Linked DNA regions of Bombyx mori. The main gene of each other region encodes a partner of the protein of the gene in region 3 in a complex. Links are inferred from orthologs where the notes say so. Each region holds a gene or a part of one and is shown on either strand. Other genes may lie near its edges.

Region 1 (4,124 bases), on a different chromosome or scaffold from region 3:
GACATAAAAAAGTGACATAAAAACAAAAATTTAATGCAATGCTTAACTAATAAATAATGTATCTGTTGAATAATACAAGGTATTATTTCCCACTTGCAAGAACCTCTTCTCGGGTAAAGGCCTCCTCCAAGGATAGCCAATCTTCTCTGGATTGTATAATTTTACGTCTTGTTTCCGATAGTCCTATAATGAATTCTTTCAATATTTCGTTTAATTCTATTAAACGTTCATGTGATAGGTGATCTGACATTGTATTTCAATATGTAGAATTTCTTTTGAAGGTTTTTTTTTTTTTTGAAGGTTTTTTTTTTTTGAAGGTTTTTTTGTTTTTGATTCCTTGGAGGGTTTTGGTCATAATCTTCCACGGGGACCAACCGTATTGGAAGATGTTTTTCTTGTGTATTTTGCTTGTTTTTCTTGTGGGAGGGGGGTGGTAGTGTCTATATATTCCTGTTTTGATTGTTCTGCTAAATCAGTGCGTTGTTAGTATTTTTTAGTGCGGAAGTTGAGCATGCCCGGTTTCAAGACACCCTCCGATAGACTAGATGATCTTTGTATCGGAGCTTGTGTTTTGTTCTTCTTGCTTGCTTGAGTCTTTTTCTCATCTTGAGGGCGGTAATGAAAACAGGGGGTTTCGGGTGAAGCAGAAAGCATTCTTTTATTAGTATTTTTTGTATTCTTGTTCTTATTTATTACTATCATTTTATCATACTTGATGAACGCAGTGTTGCCCTTCTCTCGCTCTTCCTGTACCTGTTTTTTGTAGTTCCTTCCTTTTTTTCCAAAATGTTTTGTGGATAATCCTCTTTTAAATAGTATGGAGTATCATTCAGTTTTCCTCTGTTTTTGTATATATCTATTTTTAAACCCAAAGTTACAAATGTCACAATAATTGATCGAGGCTTTTCTCCTTTCTTACCTATTCTCTTAGCCTCCTGAATGTCTGTAGAATTCAGTTTAATAGATAAGTACGTTCTATGAAACTGGCTAAGTTTCTTTCCAAGTTTGAATATGAAATTTCCGTTTCTTCCACCCCAAAGAAGACAACATTCCTTAGTCTTGCTTGTTTTTCTAAAACATACAGTCTTTTTCCTTGATTTTGCACTTCAGCTTTGAGATTATCGAATTTTTCTTCCCAGTAATTAAACTTTTCGTCCAGTATTTTATTTATGTTTTGAGTCACTTGTTCTGTCACTTTCTCGCCGCTTTTTGTTCATCCAGTTCTTTTTGGATGGTTCTGAGTGCAATTAAAATTTCTTCCATTGTTAGATAGCGTAACGATAGAACGAGTAACGAGTTGTTTTGATACTGGTGGCACCCTCTCTTGTCTTAGGTGTATCTATTTCAACGGACGTTCAATGCGCGGCCAATAGTAGTCGGGATAATGCGAAGACTGGGTTGTGACGAAGTTTGATAGCATCGGCAGATGACGTTAATTGACGTAGCGATTTATGGGTATTATAATTATTAAAGGGACTTAGATTATTACCATTTTTCGGAAACTCTTTCCAAACCCACTAACTTATGCTTGTTCGACACTCTGTGCTATCCGTTCACTCCTCGTAGATTTTTTCCCTCGATCAGATCACAAAATGATACTCAACGATGTTCTTCTCACTAGAGTAATTTTTACAATTATTCATTAAATCCTTAAACAGTTGGCTGGTATTCACTGTTTAGCTTGCAGAGTACAGGCAATTACGCGTACTTAAACTCACTTTTTAAGGAATGGCACTATTTTAATATTTTTAAATCACGATAAAATACAGAGCCGATGTGTATTGTGGCAAACTCATTTGAATTTTGATTTATTGCCAGCCATACTAAAATTGTTTCAAATGATCAGTATTGGAAAACAGTAACTTTATAAGTAAAGCCCTAATATTAACAAACTTCCAAAGCTACAATTAGCAAATATTTAATCTTCTTACATGATATTGAGCTAAAATAATGTACTTCTTCCACCTAACAAATGTTGACTAATGTCACTATCAGTTGTTAACAGATCCTCTCATATTCTTGCTATGCTCAGTTTATTGTGAGATTTATAAACAATTAAAATATAAAAAATTAGCATATTACGTATCGACGGGTACTTTTTCACTGTTTTAGCCAAGTGTGTTAAAAATAAAGGTTTTCATCTGTAATTCTATCTAATAGAACTTACAAAGTTCCTAAGATGTTCCACAGCTTCTAGCAAGAGCTCTTGGTGTCCGATGATATGCATGCCCAAGTACTCTAAGTCATCACATCTCAACATCAATAATCTAGTACCATTTAAGCCTTTGGCTCGCATTTGTGGGACATACTGGGCAACAGATGCGTCCAGCCCTGAAATGATAATGTAAACATAGAACACAGCTTCCAATAAGTAATGATTTACAAATCACAGTAGTGATATCTCATTATTACATTACATGTGCAATAAAATTCAGAATAAGGTAGTCTCAGAGAACTGAATAATATGAGTCATATTTAAAAAAAAACAGACTTTATACGGCTTATATATAGTGGTTTTATTTGTCTAACCAGAGCCGGCAGTCTAGCCTGACTCACCGTCTGTACAAAACATGAAACGGACACTCACCGGACATCCATTCAGCTACTTGGTCCGCAGTCCATTCAGCAATATTTAATCCAGCCATTGTAATAAGCACTGCGCATATTTCAACTGATTGAATATATTTTTTATTTTATTATGAAACAGAAAAAGTAAATATGTAGCACTATCGCGCATTTCATTTATTGTTCGAAAAAACAAGCTTTGATTACGTCGTAGGGATGTTGATCTGAGATCGACCATTCGAAGAATTAAAGCTTTAACCAAAAATATCGATTTTTTTAAATCGATCTTAACTAATAAATCGTTCTCAGTTAGCAGGAAATTGTGATTCGATTTGTTTTGCTGCAGCTAGAACGCAATCAAACATGATTATAAATTATTTTTTGGGTTCAATAACTTAGGTGTAAAATATTTGCTCTTGTAGATGTTACGTTTTTTTAGCATTAAGCGAGCAATAATGGTTAATTTTTACTTTTTTAAATCTGTGAAATTAAATAAGTATGGGAAAATGATAATAAGTCGCTGGTCGTGGATTCTTGGGCTCGTCCTGTGGGCTTATCCCACATCTCATGCACACACATTTACTCTTCACAATATAAAACTTATATAATATATTTATTTCATATAATTATTAATACACACAGAGTATACATTCACACATATAACATATCTATTAATATATTATTACTACATTACATATACAACAGACATACACACACGACAATTTATCGTACCACGTCAATCAGCTGGTCGCCCGTTCGTTTGCGCTGTGGACACGCGCGCTTGAACGGAATGTCGCGGGTAGCTTGAAAATATATTCTTGCGCAGCTGATCGCGGCTAGCCACGCCCCCAGTCGAAACTTACCTCGAGACTAAACGCACGTCGCTTTTGCTAATTATATACTGTTGTATTGTTTTCGAAGCTTTTGCCTCACTTGTGATAACGCGCTTTCTTTGTGTTTATCGTAATAGTATTGTCGTAAAGTGTAAAGTGTCTTCTACTTATAAACTGAATCTCTTCTGTGCTCGTAACCTTCAATTCAATAATATTTATATCAATCAATAATTATAATAATATAGACTGTGTTGTATTTTCGTGTGGACTCAGTGTTAGTTGAATAAACATTTCATTAGTGTGCAAGGTGTCGTATTTAATTTATTAACCGAACACCGTCGACGGCTTCTCAGGTACCTACTTACCTTTACCTCAATTACGCTACAAGTCCGGACGACCCGTACATACTCAAACCACATCTCCAACATACGGCAGCCCACAATTCGAGTCTATAGTCCAAAAAGTCCACTGATGTCTTAGTAAGCTCCCACTACTTTATTGAGGTCTAAATCATTATATCACGTTTCATTTACTTTCATCCTAATTGATACCAAATTAAGATAAGACGAAGACGAAGAAGCTTCATTTCATTTCATCCTATCGTTTTGCCGTTATATGATTATTAATACGTATGTACTTACTAACTGAAGATTTCTAACCATATCACCAGACCAATGAGACCATTTTGTTCTCAAAAAGAAAAACTTCTCACATACCTACACAACT
Region 2 (4,248 bases), on a different chromosome or scaffold from region 3:
CCTTTGAGAACTGCTGATGTGATTGTTCCTAAGAGTTCACAATATTATTCTAGGGTTATTCTAATTCTTCTATTAAGGTCTATTCTAATCATTGGTTATAGAAATATACAAAAGTTAGTATATATTAATGTGCAAGCTGATCACTGAAGCATTCATATCGACACTTGAAAGGCAAACGTGACTAAGCGACAATGCGTTAACTTTACAGTAGACTAATTTAAAATTGAAATACCTGAAAAAAATTCTATTTTAACGAGTCTAGCTGTAGGATTGAAATGATTTTAATAGACCTAGAAATATATTTTTTTTGCGCATCGAATATGGTATTTGCGTATCATTTATGAACAAATCAGTTATTGTCACTTAGTCACGTTTGCCTTTCAAGCGTCTATATGGTTCCAATAGAGCTCAAGCAAGCTGCTGTGTACCAACACTGCTGATTTTTTTTAGAATACCCTCAACTAACAATAAGTGGTTTAAGATTAGCTTAAAGAAAAATCAACAGTTAATATATTCTTGTAGCATTCTAGCAGAATAGGTAATTTAGCAACATTAATAAACAGATATGTGGCACCAACCTTTCAACTACAACTAATGACATATGCAATGGAATATTGCAACAAAGATACAAAATAATACAAATAGATGATTTGTATTAACATGTAAGAATTTCTAGCGATTAATTATTAATTTGATGTAGCATAGATCAATTAAACGTTACCTAAAATAGATTCAGGAATTCTTCCCGCCTTCTTCAATATAAGATCCAATGACCCTCCATCCATGTATTCCATGCATATAGAGATCTCGCCATCACTATAGAATGCTCCATAGAAGCCAACTATATGTGCAAAGTTACATTCATGAAGTACTTTTAACTCTCTGATTATCTGCTTTTTTATAGCCGGTTTCACTTCGAGATGAATCAACTTGCGTGCCATGATGAGTCCGGTAGATTTGTGACGAACTTTCATTACAACTCCACCGTTGCCTTGGCCTGAAATTTTATAATAATTAAAAGTCACTAACAATGTATATAATTAGTAATTCTTTTATATAGTTTAGTTATTCTTATTTTTCAATTACATTTTTTACTTTTCCTGAAATTACCAATTATAGGGTAAGTTTAATTAAGCATTTAAAGGTCATCACCAAGTTAAACTTTGAAGTTGTCAGTAAAGTAATTTAAAAATAGCAGAAAATTAAAATACTCACTAGTACAAATATTATTTTAGATACTTTATAAAATCACTAACCTAATTCACCAAGCTTCTCAAAGTCATCATCACTCAGCTCTCCAATCTTCTCTTTCTGACAGAGGAATACTTCTATCCTGCGCCTCTGAGTATCATCCATCTCAATTTGCTCCAGTCTCTCAGTTAAAGCCTCTATACTTGTCTTTGACTTGCCTGCTAACCCTTGCCGCCTACAACAATTTTACAGTAACATAAAAAATTTCAATGTAAATATATATGCTTATATATATTATTAAGAAGCTAGAAATGCAGTATATACTTGGTGCCATTCCATTTATATGGAGGACCATAATATCATTGTTGTGATGTTCATTGGCTATATTTATCACTATATAAAGAGGTAGGCTATGAATTTGGTCACCTGCCTAAGCAATTAACAAATAAAAACTGATAAACTGTTTAACTCTTGTAATGTAAAGCATTAGAAATGTTGGAAATAATAAAATGAAAATAATAAATACGAAAATAAACCATAACAAGTGTTTTAATGATATCTGAGAATCAAAAATTTAACTTCTATAATTATAATAATGAATTTCTTAATAATTTTAGGTTTGATAATAATACTTTACTGCTGTAAAGATTATTAAAATCCCTATTTAATAACTTCAACCTCATAACGAAGTTTCATTATTTATATACTTACTCATTTGCAGTAGCAGATTTGAGCTGTGGTGTCATGTTAGATGGCGTGGCAGCTGGGTTTGTGTCTATTGACCCTGGTGGAAGGGTCAAATTCAGTTTGTTCTTTGACATCTTACTCATTTTGATTTTTTAGATCTTCCCTCATCCATGAAGTATCTACAACAGTTGATTTATTATTAAATAAGAGGGTTTAATTTTTTTGAGGTTTTTGGAAATTTAATGACAAGTTCTAAGTTTCTTGCCAGTGTAAGCCAGCTATGCCTGCGTCTTTAAGTTTTGTGAAGACATTTTTGTTTTGGTAAATAAGCTATTTCAGGTCCTAGGTTATCTCGAAAGTGTTAAAAAAGAAAAACACTATTTTCCCCTTAAATATAATCTACTGTCTATATACTGTAATGTATCTGTACTATTGGTTTCTGATAAAAAAAACAATGTTTTTGTTGTTTGGATTATTCATTTTCTTGAGTAAAATTTTTGGTTAGAGTGCCTAATTATGATACTAATGATTAATATTTAAAATCTATTAATACTTAAACAAAAAGGATGTAGCAAGGAGCCATTATGAATTGAATTCAATTATTATATTCAAACGAAGTTTTTCTTAATTTTAAATGGAAATTTCATCGAACACCGCAAAATTTATGAACAACAAAAAGCGTTGTAAGAAAAAACAAGATTCATACTCATCAAATACCCATTTGTCAAGGCATTATTTTATAACGTTCACACAGCAACGGTATTTCTTACAAAAAAATTGAAACACAAACAAAACTACTCAAAAAGAGTCCCAAACCCAGCAATTAATGTCGGAAAAAACCTTAACTGAAAAGAAAATGTAAATCGAATATTCGTCACTCGCAAATTTTTTGCCGTAAGTAGATATGACATTTTTTTGATTCGTCTTTTGGATAGGCAAAGAGAATGTGACCCAAACAGCTTAACTACTCTTTTGAAACAAAACCTGAAGTTATAAAAAAAAAATAGAACTAGATTCTATAATTTACCGAGAAACCAAGTTGAGCAAATTTTTTTTTCAGACTACTACTCGCAAAAAATTCAAATCTAACAAGTAATAATAAAAATTATCTAATCACCAAAATATTGATAATAATAATAAATGATTTATGTTCGGAATTCTCATATCTTTTTTTCTTTCTTCAACAAACAAAAATTTAAGTAAAGGTTAAGGTAGGTATGTACAAAACAATGAACAAGAATATTGATGTTATGTCATAAATCGAAATATAATCGATTTCTTCCAGGCAACTTTATAGGAAGTTAATTTATTTCATAAAAATGATAGTGGTTATCTACGTTGCAAGTAGTACTATAGAAATACGTTGTGATCTATATGAGCTCCAGTAACTCTCTGAGCTGCTTTGCTTGTTATGCTCTCCAAGTTCTGAGCTGCTTTGCTCGTTTATGCAATTAAAAAATCAAACATAAATCATGAGAAAAAATAAAAATTGAAAAATACTATTAGATTGGAATAAGAATATTAAAATTCATTGACATGCTGCTTTAAGATATTCTTCGTCTTTTATGTATGGCAATTGGCTTCTTGCGATACCATTGTTGCCAATGTCCAGTTTATAAAAATCTTCAATTATTAAATACCTACCTTCAATTATAAAATAAATAATTAGAAAATTTGAAATTTTCTGTTATATCAAAAACTAGCAGCCCGCTCCGGCTTCGCTCGGATCTTTAGCAAAAATTTCAACGACGTTGTTTTACTTTTTTATATAAAAGAACACTTATTGTGGCATAACTATAATAGTTAGACATATGCTGTCGCGACACTTTTTGTAAATAATAATATGTTCTACAAAGTCGTAGTACATTATTTTATTCTGTCATCAATAGTTTTCGCAGGGCACGCAATGTAGTATGGATCCCAAATTTTTTTCAAAAAAGATTATAGCCTATGTCACTCGGGAATAGTGTAGCTTCCAAACAGTGAAAGAATTTTTCAAATCGGTTCAGTAGTTTTGGAGCCTATTCGATACAAACAAACAAACAAACAAATCTTTCCTCTTTATAATATTAGTATAGAAGTATAGATAATGGAGCGAAATGAGATTTAATTTAGTTTATTCATTTGAGACTGTAATCAATTGAGATGAAATTAAATGAAACGAGATGAGATGAAATAAAGGATCAGTAAGATTATGGTTATTTACTGAGACTTCAGTGGACTTTTAAGAACTTATGAAGCCACGTCCAACGGCTGTTTAATTTTTCCAAATTTGTGTATTTTAAGATGCCAAACAGTAAATAATGTACTATTATTACACGTTTAAACCTGAAGAAACACTAAATTAACAAAACTATTCAGACAGCTTTG
Region 3 (3,500 bases):
TTACCTCGATACGTGAGCAAATCATGTTATTAGGTTTTCTTGATGATGGTGAATGTATCGTAAAAATATTCATTCGCGTGAATAAGCACAGGTCAATTAAAAAAGAAGCTACCAATGATATTAACTTTTTAATTGACTTCCAATGAAGGCTTTCTTCGTTATGTACGTTTTGTATTCGGGATCATCTTTTAATTTATTTATTTGTTGCCTATTCCGAATATGCAACTTAGGGACTTTGAAAATGTTGAATTTTCTGTGTTACCAGATACACGGACTTGTCTACAAAACGTACCGAGAACAGAAGTCTGATCCAATAGTGCAGTAGACATTGTCACTAACTTTTTTGTTTTTTTTTATTGCCCTTGTAGGCAGACGAGCATACGGCCCACCTGATGGTGAGTGGTTACCGTCGCCCATGGACTTCAGCAATGGCAGAGCCAAGCCGCTGCCGCTGCCTATCTCTCAATTAGCCGATTGTTAATCATCAAAAACGTTTAAACTCTACCTGAACAGACGATCAGGCATTATTAAAATTAACATTTTTTTTTTCTACAGTTGTCGATGAAGGAATGGGACATACCTTATGATGACGTGAAGATATTCGAGGTGATAGGGGCGGGCAGGTTCGGCACCGTCTGCCGGGGCAGCTGGCACGGAGCCGTCGCCGTGAAGCTGCTGCACGTGCTGCCGCTCAGCGACGACGGTTCGCTGCTCGACACCTTCAAGCATGAGGTATCCCCCCTTACGAACCGGAGAAAACCCTTCAAGTACACATGAAACACATCGCGCCTTTAGAATAATAGAGATCCAACACAGAAAATGTATTTTTTTTCGGAAACATCAAATAAAGTTTTCAAACCGAAAAGACGGAGTGAAAGAGACCGATGGATAAGTTTGTCTCTTTTTATGCTACTTTTGATCACAGACATCTACAACGTAAATGCGCCACCCACCTTGAGATACAAGTTCTAAGGTCTCAGTATAGTTACAGCGGCTGCCCCACCCTTCAAACCGAAACGCATTACTGCCTCACGGCAGAAATAGGCGGTGGAGGTACCTACCCGTGCGGACTCACAAGAGGTCCTACCACCAGTAATTACGCAAATTATAATTTTGTTGAGTTTTGTTGTAACGTGTGGACGTTGTCGCCGCTCGTTGGTGTTAAGTGGATCGCAGTCCATAGAGGCTGCTATTTTGCGAATATCAGTGTGATCAATAAATTTTTTTATAGATTCTTGGTACAAAATTGAATGGGAATCGAAAAATTTGGCAATTGATTTGAACAAGTTACAGACGGACTTGGTATTGTGGGAGTGAGGAAAGTGAAGCTATTGGAATTAGTTAATAATAAAATGCCTTAAACAAAGATAAAACAATATGTTTTTGGAACTTGAAATGTAAGGCGTACAAAACGCCGAGGTCGATGACCGCCCACTATACGTCCCGTAGGCATCGTACCCATAAGGACAATTTTTTTAACTCTGATTTAGTGTCACGCTTCTATTTTGTGTAGTAAATTAAAATTTACTCATCATTAATGTCGATTAGGTTTCAATATTCCGGAAGACCCGTCACGAGAACCTGGTCCTGTTTATGGGGGCCTGCATGAAGCCGCCCCGGCTCGCGATAGTGACATCATTGTGCAAGGGCATGACGCTCTACACGCACATCCACCTGCGGAAAGACAAGTTCACCGCCAACAAGAGCGTGCTCGTGGCGCAGCAGATCTCACAGGTGAGATTGTTGGTTATGAGTCGGCGATACTTTTTTTTTATTTTTTTTTATTGCCTTTGTAGGCAGGGGGGAATAGGGACTAGGGGTAGGTTTTTACTGGTGGTAGGACCTCTTGTGAGGTCAAACGAGTAGGTACCACCACCCCGTCTATATCTGCCGTGAAGCAGTAATGCGTTTCGGCTTGAAGGGCGGAGCAGCCGTTGTAACTACACTACCTTAGAACTTACATCTCAAGGTGGGTGGTGCATTTACGTTGTAGATGTCTATGAGCTTCAGTAACCACCTAACACCAGGTGGGTTGTGAGCTCGTCCACCAATATAAGCAAAAAAAAAATTTGAAGGGTTCTCTCACCGTGGCCGTTCGTCATAACCCACTCAGAGTCGCTGGCGACGTTTACCTTGCGATATCTATGGGCTCTGGTAATCAGCTAACACACCAGGCTGGCCGTGAACTGTGTTCATCACAAGTATGGTATAAGGAGTATCGCATAGTGAATAGCATCTGATGTTACAGCATTAAGAAGTTTTTGCGTAAAAGAGTACCAGAAATCCTTGATTCCTCAAAAGATTCCGCGTTTAAAATACGAACCAGGGTATCATTCAGAATGTTCTCGACGAAAAATTGGTTTGTTTTTCACAGGGTATGGGCTACCTACACGCCCGAGGCATCATCCACAAGGACCTGAAGACGAAGAACATATTCTTAGAGAGCGGGAAGGTGGTCATCACGGATTTTGGTCTCTTCAGCGTCACTAAATTGTGCTTCGGGAATAAGTTAGTAGAGTTCAATCAAGACTTTTTGACGTGTCAAGCTATGTTAATTGTTTTAGTTTTAAGAATATAGTCTCTCTTATGAATAAACGTGTACTGGCTGTAGTTCATTAAGCTCTCACTGTATGTGAAAGAGCGCTGTTTGTAGAGAAACATAATCACTGGATATGACATCCAAATGACCATTGAACTCTCAGGAGTTTTCTGTCATTGTACTGAGAGATTAAAATCCACTACCTCATCGAATACCTGTACGGTGTGGTCTCATCTTACAGCATTTCCATTTTATTTCACTCTTCGTGCAACAGCAACGGGTTTTGGTTGGCTGTATGAGCTTCGATCCCTTTGCTTGTCCAATAAACCAATAAAAATACTAAAACAACGCAGCTCTACTCACTACGCATCTATTCGAAGTGGTGAATGGGACTTTTTGGCAGGAACGCGAGGAGTGAAGTTATGTGATTTGTTTTATTTTGTCTATTTAGTGTTTCTTCAGGTTTAAATGTGTAATAACGGTGGTTTATAAACTGTTTTATATCTGTGAAAGTGCACAAATGTGGGAAAATGAAACAAAGCCGCTGAACGTAACTTCTCGGGATCCTCCAAAAAGTCCACTGAAAAAGTCTCTGTAAATGACCACCATTTTACTGAGATTATATTTCATCCCATACTATCTGATCTCATTTCATTTCATGCCATGTTTCATATTAATCGACTTCATTTCATTTCATAATATCATTTTTACATAAAAAAAAAACATTAAAATTAAAATAAGACTTGACCTAAAGGTCTTAGTTACGAGGTCATAAAATCCCTTAAAAAAAAAAGAAGTGGTGAATAGACTTGTATCCGCAAGTCAGTGCGGCGCAGTGCGTTGTACAATGGGTGCTCCGGCCATTTAGAATCGGGGCGCTTAAACTGTCCCGCCCCAGGACGGACGACTGATGCGTGTTGTTCCGCAGCGCCCGCGGCGACAGTCTCGGCATCCCGTCGGG

Evidence for each region. The genes of interacting proteins can lie anywhere in the genome.
Region 1: the proteins of kinase suppressor of Ras 2 (region 3) and uncharacterized protein LOC101745226 are in contact, whole or in part, in a cryo-EM structure (PDB 8BW9), measured with the Drosophila melanogaster proteins. The link is inferred for Bombyx mori from reciprocal best matches to the Drosophila melanogaster genes ksr and cnk. Residues at the interface, in NP_001287177.1 of Drosophila melanogaster: Arg900, Gly901, Met902, Lys903, Gln904, Ser905, Leu906, Ala907, Gln910, Ser911, Gly912, Arg913, Lys916, Asp917, Met920, Tyr925, Lys945; in NP_001286524.1 of Drosophila melanogaster: Lys79, Asn80, Asn82, Gln84, Leu88, Glu183, Asn187, Ile190, Gln191, Ile193, Ser194, Asp195, Pro196, Val198, Leu199, Gln200, Pro201, His288, Thr289, Met291.
Region 2: the proteins of kinase suppressor of Ras 2 (region 3) and Mek are in contact, whole or in part, in a cryo-EM structure (PDB 8BW9), measured with the Drosophila melanogaster proteins. The link is inferred for Bombyx mori from reciprocal best matches to the Drosophila melanogaster genes ksr and Dsor1. Residues at the interface, in NP_001287177.1 of Drosophila melanogaster: Gln767, Tyr828, Asp830, Met831, Gly832, Leu833, Gly834, Val835, His837, Arg849, Ala850, Leu851, Gln852, Asp888, Gln889, Pro890, Ala891, Glu892, Ser893, Ile895, Trp896, Gln897, Gly899, Arg900; in NP_511098.1 of Drosophila melanogaster: Gly98, Gly99, Lys123, Asp236, Met238, Ala239, Asn240, Ser241, Phe242, Val243, Gly244, Thr245, Ser247, Met249, Arg253, Leu254, Gln255, Gly256, Ala310, Met311, Ala312, Ile313, Phe314, Leu317, Asp318, Val321.

What each region holds. Positions count from the first base shown.
Region 1 is NC_085128.1:233,122-237,245, reverse strand, and holds the start of uncharacterized protein LOC101745226, read right to left. Parts: upstream 2,801-4,124; 5' UTR 2,646-2,800; coding exon 2,588-2,645; intron 2,332-2,587; coding exon 2,168-2,331; intron 1-2,167.
Region 2 is NC_085127.1:6,274,001-6,278,248, forward strand, and holds the start of Mek (MAP kinse-ERK kinase), read right to left. Parts: upstream 2,801-4,248; 5' UTR 2,585-2,800; intron 2,058-2,584; 5' UTR 2,022-2,057; coding exon 1,903-2,021; intron 1,430-1,902; coding exon of another isoform or gene 1,427-1,429; coding exon 1,257-1,426; intron 998-1,256; coding exon 722-997; intron 29-721; coding exon 1-28. UniProt on the Drosophila melanogaster protein: Required downstream of Raf in the sevenless (sev), torso (tor), and Drosophila EGF receptor homolog (DER) signal transduction pathways.
Region 3 is NC_085114.1:14,723,509-14,727,008, reverse strand, and holds part of kinase suppressor of Ras 2, read left to right. Parts: intron 1-555; coding exon 556-732; intron 733-1,548; coding exon 1,549-1,734; intron 1,735-2,374; coding exon 2,375-2,508; intron 2,509-3,467; coding exon 3,468-3,500.